Neodiprion lecontei: one gene and its partner. Each later gene encodes a partner of the first gene's protein in a complex. Links are inferred from orthologs where the notes say so. Each region holds a gene or a part of one and is shown on either strand. Other genes may lie near its edges.

The links.
Region 2: ragulator complex protein LAMTOR1 (region 1) and ragulator complex protein LAMTOR4 homolog share a complex: the UniProt entries of both Homo sapiens proteins name them as parts of the ragulator complex. The link is inferred for Neodiprion lecontei from reciprocal best matches to the Homo sapiens genes LAMTOR1 and LAMTOR4.

Annotation. Positions count from the first base shown.
Region 1 is NC_060263.1:15,853,602-15,858,853, forward strand, and holds ragulator complex protein LAMTOR1, read left to right. Parts: upstream 1-1,965; 5' UTR 1,966-2,146; coding exon of another isoform or gene 2,147-2,151; coding exon 2,152-2,202; intron 2,203-2,873; coding exon 2,874-2,950; intron 2,951-3,070; coding exon 3,071-3,160; intron 3,161-3,657; coding exon 3,658-3,856; intron 3,857-3,944; coding exon 3,945-4,034; 3' UTR 4,035-4,736; downstream 4,737-5,252. UniProt on the Homo sapiens protein: Key component of the Ragulator complex, a multiprotein complex involved in amino acid sensing and activation of mTORC1, a signaling complex promoting cell growth in response to growth factors, energy levels, and amino acids.
Region 2 is NC_060264.1:23,151,498-23,154,872, forward strand, and holds ragulator complex protein LAMTOR4 homolog, read right to left. Parts: upstream 1,285-3,375; 5' UTR 1,056-1,284; coding exon 984-1,055; intron 907-983; coding exon 658-906; 3' UTR 560-657; downstream 1-559. Other genes in the region: GTP-binding protein YPT6, read right to left, coding at 78-257; isocitrate dehydrogenase [NADP] cytoplasmic, read left to right, coding at 2,220-2,420, 3,067-3,375. UniProt on the Homo sapiens protein: As part of the Ragulator complex it is involved in amino acid sensing and activation of mTORC1, a signaling complex promoting cell growth in response to growth factors, energy levels, and amino acids.

The DNA of each region.
Region 1 (5,252 bases):
AAAACCCAATGACTGATTCCAAATTTTGGGAAAAATTTATAAAATAGGTTCATCCTTCTACATATCATCAACGTGCTTCTCGCAAAAAGAAAAGTGTTTCAGAATTTTTCGGATATTTTCAAAACTTGAGATATCGAATTTTTTCAAGTCATAATTTTAAAAGTGCTCAACAAAGCAAACAAAAAGTCTGCATAAGCACTTTCTTGAAATGATTGGAACTAAAAATAAAGTATTTCAACATTTTTTCAAAATATTTGCCGCTCAAAGTTGACTACGTAAAAAACTTTGAAAAAATAAATTGAGCGTCTTAGAAATGCTAATATCGCCTGTAAAAGATTTGATATATTCATGTAAATATAAACAATACACGAACATGTATTTGATTGATATTTATTTTTCCGTTATGTAATTTCGGCGTATATATTTCTTGTACGGGATTTTCTCAACTTTTCAATCTCACGATGACGACTGTATGTTATCAACGTTTTGCACGTGATAGTTGTTTGTTTTCAAGAACTTCTCTTACGTGCGTTGTTAGTTGCTTGGTTGATAATACGTGAAACTACTATACCTCCAAACCCGGTCAAACTCAGCAAACTGTTACGAAAAATAACTCGTTATCAGTCTTTACATATCCTCAGTCAACGTTCCCTATGAAACATCTAAAAATGATCAATAAACATCAGTACATACATATAAATGAGAAGCAGCTTTTGGTTATATGCGCTAGGGCTAGATTAACGTCTGGGACTACTGCCTAACTACAATTGTTTCAATTTTCACGAATCAACGATCCACTATCAGATGTCGAAACTTCACTATCCAACACCACCAAACGATCAACAAACGATTGCCAGCATGGGTAATTGCATTTCAATGCAATTTACAGTTAACGAGGAGTTGTCGTAAGTTAGACGTTCTGGGATTGAACAAACTCCCGGAATTGGTGCCTAACTAGAGTCGTCTTATTTATTTTATTTTTTTTGACTGGCTTAGGGGAGGGCTATGTTTTTCAATTTTTTCAGGTAATTGGAGGACTATTGAATGTTGGAGAAACGCTAATAAACACCAACATACGACGAACAAACGATTCTGCACAAGCAAAATTCAAATAAATCCCAAAATACAACTGTGAGGGGTTAATGTCACTGAACTCCCTAGCCGGTGTTGTTCTAATAATAACAACGTAATTATTAACTATGGGTATGTTTCGATATACACTGCGAGCACTGTAAGGTGTGTCGTCAATTTAGTATACTGCGAAGCCGTTCCTGTATAGTTAGCTATACTGGTTACTGCTTAAAACGTGCTTAAAACGGAACGCAGTACAGTATACTGTGATCAACATTTTTTGGCGTTACTTTCATTTCATACATAATATTTGTTTCACATTGTAATAAACACAATTTATTCAAATTTTCCATTTTTGTTTTTAACGGCCGATATTTTTAAATGACAATATTCAATAATAATAATTATCAATAGTGGAAGCTGTTAAATTTCTGAACGCTGTTGATCACGTGATCAAAGCACTGAGAGCACCTTACCTCGAAAGCACCAGTGTTCACAGTAGAAAAATGGCAACGATTTATGACGTCATATATTTCCCTAGGATTTCCTAGAATTTCTCCCCAGTAAGAGCACTGAACAGTGCTCGCAGTGTATATCGGAACATACCACTGATATGAACATACCCTATCAAGGCCGTGTTCGTAAATTGACTGACGGTACTGAAAATTCCCTAGGACAGAGTCGGAGCTATTTACGAACTTGGAAGCGCAAAAGAGATGAAAGATTGCTGACAGTACTGTCAGTCAATTTTCGAACACGGCCCAAACCTCGGGTACTCACTACAGAGAGAAACCTATCAAACACAAACGATCACAGATTACTTTTCGAGGTACTGGTCTAGACTATTTTGTATTACCAGGTTTTAGTGGGGGCGAAACTGGTCATCGGTACGACGACGTCGGCAATCTGAACGATTATAAAAACATTGAAGTTACTGACAAATGCGTAATTGGTTACGTGTTGTTGCACAACAATGATAGAATATTTGTTCATATAATTATACGAAGTCATAAAAAATATACTTGACACAGTTTAGACTTATTATTTACATAAAGTGGTTGAAACAACAGTCACTATGGGATGTTGCCCAAGCCTTTGCAAAGAAGACAATGGGCCGCAGGTATGTCAGATGTAAAGTACTTGGACTAATCCTTGCCTTTTATTTTGAGTTTATTTCTTCTCCTTTGCTCATCATTCTCACGTCTACTACTTTAGAATTGATACGTGAGTTTCAGTAAAGACACTTATCAAACTAGTCTCGATCATCATCAATCGTAAAGGTACAAATTTTGTGTAGGCATTTCGTCGCCACGATTGTATTTTTATTTATACGCTGTATTTTTCCATTGACATAAACGACTTTGACAGCTCTGAAATGTTAATTTGATGCCACTTCTCGTTCGGCGAAAAAATAACCATTTAACATTCCATTTTTGCATATCTACAATGACGCACATCATCTAGGAGATGAAAAATATAAAAATTATAGTAACAAGTAAAGCCACGGACACACGAACGATTTCCAAGTGCGATGTCATCATTATTATTAACTACAATATCTGGCGAGTTTACCATTATTTCTGCCCCCCTGTGGTATTTTTATTTACCTTATTTCGCGATAACCTACCCAGATAACTTTGATCTACTGATACTGCTGTAATAATTATCATTTATTGAAACTCATTAATTGACTTGAAATGCTTTCACCAACATTTCTCTCACAACAGTAGATTAAGACTGAGTAGACTAATTACTTCTAAGTTCCTAACCTGTATCTTAATTCGACTGACTTGTATTTTCAGGGTGACGCAGCTAACGAGAGAACACGTTTGCTGGTAAATCCGGTCAGCAATACACCAAATATCCCAACAGCTCACAGGTGATTGATCAGACTTTAAAGCATGCGTAAAAAGTATTTGTGTTCCATTCTTTTTATTATAGTGACTGTCACTTATATAATATCAAATGCTTTTTTGCTTCTTATTTTATTACTTTCCAGTGACGATTATGTTAATCCATATGCGAACCCTGTCCCAAAGAAGACTGATGAACAAAGCGCACTGAACCGAATCTTGCAGGAAACTGCCGCGTGAGTATTTTTTATTTATTTTTTTTTTGAATTTGTATCCTATTTATTTTGCTGTTTACGAAACTTGAGCTATACCTTCTTAGTTCTCTGCATCGAATGCATGCTGCTGCTGCACGTTGGCTTAGTACCAAGTTTATATTTAAATTGTCTCTAGGACAAGCTTACTATACCTTTGAGTAATGCTTTAGAATTTCACGATTTCTGTTTTTCTTTGTGCATTTCAAGTTCTGTTTTATACTAACATAGCATGGTAGCCTAGCTTCTACAGATTGAGCCTCGGAATTGGCTTCTCCATCAACTTTTCAACTCGAGGTTTAATAATTTTCTAAATTATACCTATTTTGTAAATACTTTGCTGACCGTTAATTTAATTCTCTGTAACTTGTTTGAAGCAGTAAAAATAACAGACAAATGTTATAAGAATCATTTGACAAAGTTACATTCAATAAAAAATTCGGCTCGATTTTGCCACCTCTAATTTTCATCTCCTTTATCAGCAATGTGATCGATGTCGGTGCTCTCGACTCGCACAATTTGGAACAGCACGAATACATGGATAGGTCAAAAGCATATGCCAAAAGAATAGAAGTTATCGGTGTTCAAATACCTGACCATCCGCCATGTCTATTAAAAGATATACCAGCGCCCGAAAGAGTATTGGCTGGGGAAGGGCTGCCCCAACAGGATCGAGAAATGGTAAATAATAACTTCCACTAATATGAAATAGAAATGATGAAGTAGTGAAATTTCTATGATTTCATTGCTTATCTAAATATTTTCACAGGTTACAGATATGATGAACAGTGCGGTAACCGCGTTGAGCGAGATACAGGTGGAACATAAAGAAGATTTAGTCGTACCCTTCCTGTCGTGACTGCATTTCAATCAGATGGAAGCTTGAGCCTAAAATTTTAATATGTCTAATGACATTTATAACAGCTGTAAGAAGAAAATCAAATTTTCTACTCGTTAAGACATTTAATTCTTGTTACAGATCAAAGGTATAGATACTCTACTTGTTCGCCACAAAATCTTTATTGCAATTCAATTTTGAGCTTTATACTTAGCAGCAATGGAAACATATATTAATTTAGGTCATGCTATTCTATGCTTGTCAGAAACTCTCGATACTAGATATATCCCCCAATTTTTATTATTAACTGGTTCTAACTTTTTTTTTTTCATTTTTTTTAGTGTATCACCGTTGCATTGCTAAATATTGTTTATCGTGTAATCACTCGCGAATCGATTCTATGAAAACCGTAGTTTTAAATGATTGTAAATAACGGTTTTCTCTCGTAACGTTTTAAAGTATTACTCGGACGTGTTAATAAACCAGCGTTATGAAATTCTTTTGAACTATGTTTAAAAATCCCACTTTTTGTGGATGACAAGGTTGCATATTATGCTTATCATATTGTACAAATCGGCTGACGGGAACAGTGAGACGCTAGCGCAGGCTTGATTGGACAATGTATTTTGTTGAATGACAAATACAAAATGTTGAATACCCATGGCGTTAAAAAAAGGCTTTTCATGTGAATATGATGTAATAAAAAATATGTTTCATTTGTAATACAAATGGTATCTTTGTTCATTAACAATAGTTCGAGGTTTTAGGGTAGCGTCAAACTACCTATAGATATAAAGAATTCGCTTGCAGTTGCGTTAACATAAATAAATAAATAAATAAATAAATAAATATGAGAAGTTATCAGAAGAGGATAACAAGACGACTACTCACTAGGGTGGTTGAAAAAAATAAAATTTTATTCGCTTTTACCCCCTTCTAATGTTGGTGTTTGATAGAAAAAAAGATCTCGAAAGATTAGCTCTTGAGCTCAGTCTAACAGGTCACTACTTTAATTTTAATTTCCCTTTCATTCAACATGAGAAAATTTCACTTTTCGTTAAAAATTAAAATATTCGTAAACTATTCAATATTTTTGAAATCCATGCATAGATAGAATCTTGAAGGTGATTCTCTTTGCGGTAAAAATTGGTAGTTTTCAGATGACTGTAATGTGAATTCTAATGATGATGACTATGATATGTTATAGCGGTTTGAAAAGCTCGTAAAATCAGCTGCAAC
Region 2 (3,375 bases), on another chromosome or scaffold:
TGTCCGACACAATAAATTTAAAGCTGCACTTGCACGCGTGAAAATAACTGAACGTAACAGGCAAATGTGCTACTTACGCGAATCGTTTTTTCGTCAATGGTGTACTGTTTGTTGATATTGTCCAGTCCCAAGGTCGATTTTCTATCATTGTTTGAGACGAAGGTATTGTTCGCGAATCGCCTAAATATCGAACTTTTCCCGACCCCGTATTCGCCACATAAAATCACCTTTTGTTCGGTTACCTTGATGGTGGCCATTTGTTTACATCTAAACAATACTACCGATCATTGTTTAACGGGTTATATTTCCCACGCGTATTATTACCGATTATAACTACACACATTTATGCATGCGTACATATGCATATTCGTGATAATTAAAAAATATTCGCGCAGATTGCAGCATCTTTGTTCAGTCATAGACGTTTTGCTAAGCTCATAGATGGCGCAGACTGCCTAAAAACCGAAGAATCACCCTCGGTGTCCAACTACATCTATAATTAGTCGATTAGGTGCAATGAACAGAACCACTAGCAAAAAAGCTAGGAAACTTGCTACCGTTCACATTTGCGATCTTTGCTTTATTACATGTCTCATTTTTATATTTCAACTTAACATATGTTCCTTGTAATTATTTCGATAAGCAATATTTGACTCATCAAGCAATCACTGGCAGGTGCTGCTGCTGCTGTTCTTGAGATGAGGTCAACGCGGTTATCTTCTTCTTAACAATGTGAACCTTCTTGTTTGACAGGCATATGACGTAGCAGTGATCTTCGTAGGTTATGGATATTTTGTTGAATGTTTCATCGGACGCAAACGCCTTGGGATCGATCGTGTCGGTCAGAGTGATCAGGCTCATGATAATGTTTGCAATTCTCTCGTCGTTTTCCAGCTCTCCACCCGACTGAAATGACAGCAGTGAAAAAAAAAAAACAAAAGTAAACAATGATGAAGCTCTCGACTTGTATCGCGTTGTCATACCGTGAGTACCGCCCCGTCCTCTTTTAATACCAAATAACCGATTTGCTCAGGTATTCTCTCCATCGACAACATCTTCAAATAACCTAGCGGATGTTTGTATATTGCAGAATGGTAAAATTTAACGTAAGCACTGGGGAGCCGAGTATCAAAATTGTCCTTGCGAGGAAGTGTCACCTGTCAACACACAAAACCTGTGGTTTGACGTGTGGCGATAGTCTAAAATACAACGCGGTAGCCAGCGCGATGCAGCGCGATGTATTTTTCTGCTCTTGTTTTCTGCCTGCTTAGACTTCAATGTAGCCAACTGACAAAACTTGGAAATCTGGAGATATCATTTATCGTTTGTTCACCGTGGCGCTGTAATCCACTCTCCTGTAGTTTGGTCTCAAATTTACTCTCTAGCTCCTCTAGCTAATGAGTGCTGAAAATGGCCGAACTCTGTGAAGTTCGCGGTATGATTTTCTGTAGTAAACCACTGAGTTTACATCACTGATCTCTAGCATACAAGTAGAGGTCAGTGGTTTACAAATGAGACATAAATATCATTACATATCAGTGTAGCAAATGTCGTAGTTTCATCCTTGTTTTGACTTTGAAAATAAATATCTCATTTATTCTGAGGCATTAACAAGACGTTATTATCACGCATGACACTCACAGAAATTGCTAATTCAGCCCGCCTTTTAAATAACACCACACAGTACCTTTAATGCATGTGCAGTACATATTTCGGATATTTCGGGGCAAAATGAAAAAATATTGCGAACCGTAATTATGTAGATAGCCTGGAGGGCAGCTGTTATTAGTCCGATATTTTATGGCGGATGCCACCGCTGTTACATTGCCTCTCGGGCTTCGGCCGATTGACTCGACGGCTGGCCGCTCTAGGCGGCAATCGATTGCGTAACCAACTCCCGTTAAAAGAATGGCGCGTGTCAGCAATACTGTTAACGTCTAGAATTCGCTATCAATTTTATGTAGGGGTGGCATCAATTGACCCGTCAATGACAATAAACCGTTGGTTTATTGTACTCTTCGGACCCGGGGAGCGCGTCCAAAGGTCCCTGGGGTACACAACTTTCCGCGAGAGATAACACATCTCGGGAACCCGGTCGACGGGACCAGTGACGGTGCAACTCTAGGATCGTTCGATACGCGGTACGCAACCCGTTCCGTACACGTACTCATCCTATCCCCTAGTCGTATAATCCGGTAATAATAACAATAACAGGCGCCATGTTCCGTTCCTTGACTCGCCTGTTAGGACCGAGTGCCGCCGTGGACAGTGCGGCTCGATTACTTCGCTGCAGTACGTCGTCCGTCGCTCTGCTCGACCGAAACTCCTCATTCGACGCATCGCGCAGACGAAACCTTACGTGGACGACACAGACATCGAAAAACTTCAGCTCCACGTCAATCGCTATGGCTAAGATCAAGGTATCTATGAATGTACATATCTCACCCTGATCCATCACGCTCCCCCGAGGCGTCGCCCTGTTAGCCGATTCATCTTCCTGCAGTTTAAAAAACATTCGAGTCTCATACGGCCGGTCGCGATCGTCGCGTATCCGTTTTAAACAGTTTCTATACTAATGCCGCGACTGAGAGAAGGCACTTCAAATCACGAGACACTTGCGATTCACCTTTCGGGGAACTTTATTGTTCGCAGCGTTCGTGTTCCGAAGTATTCCGTATTTATTGCATGATTAGAACCCCGTTCCAAACCACCTTGGATGATAGTGCACATTATGGTGCACAGTGCAGAGGTCGATCCCCTCTCCTCCCCCCCACATTTAGTCGACCCATCGTTTGCCGTGGAATGTCGATGGTTTCACTTAAATAGAAAACAAGCTCGAGGTCGAGTGAAAGCTAATAAGTTTCGAATGATAAGGTTCCTACTACAATGTGGATATCACAGCGATCATTATCTCACGCGATATAAGCCGTAATAATCAATTGATTGATAGTTTGATTATTTCTCGGAATTTCCGTTCATGATTAGATTGTACAATGAAATTGTTGTAAATAAGATGTTCAGCAGTTTCTTATGAAAATACTTAAAGAAACAGCATTTTTCCAACAGGCTGGACCCGTCGTTGACATTCTTGGAGATGAGATGACTCGTATCATCTGGGACTCTATCAAGAACAAATTGATACTCCCGTTCCTGGATATTGAGTTGCACATTTATGATCTGGGTATGGAGAACCGGGACGCAACTAATGACCAGGTGACGGTGGACTGCGCGGAGGCTGTAAAGAAATATAACGTGGGCATAAAGTGTGCGACGATAACTCCGGACGAAAATCGAGTCAAGGAGTTCAAGTTGAAACAGATGTGGAAGAGCCCCAACGGCACTATCAGGAATATACTGGGCGGCACTGTCTTCAGG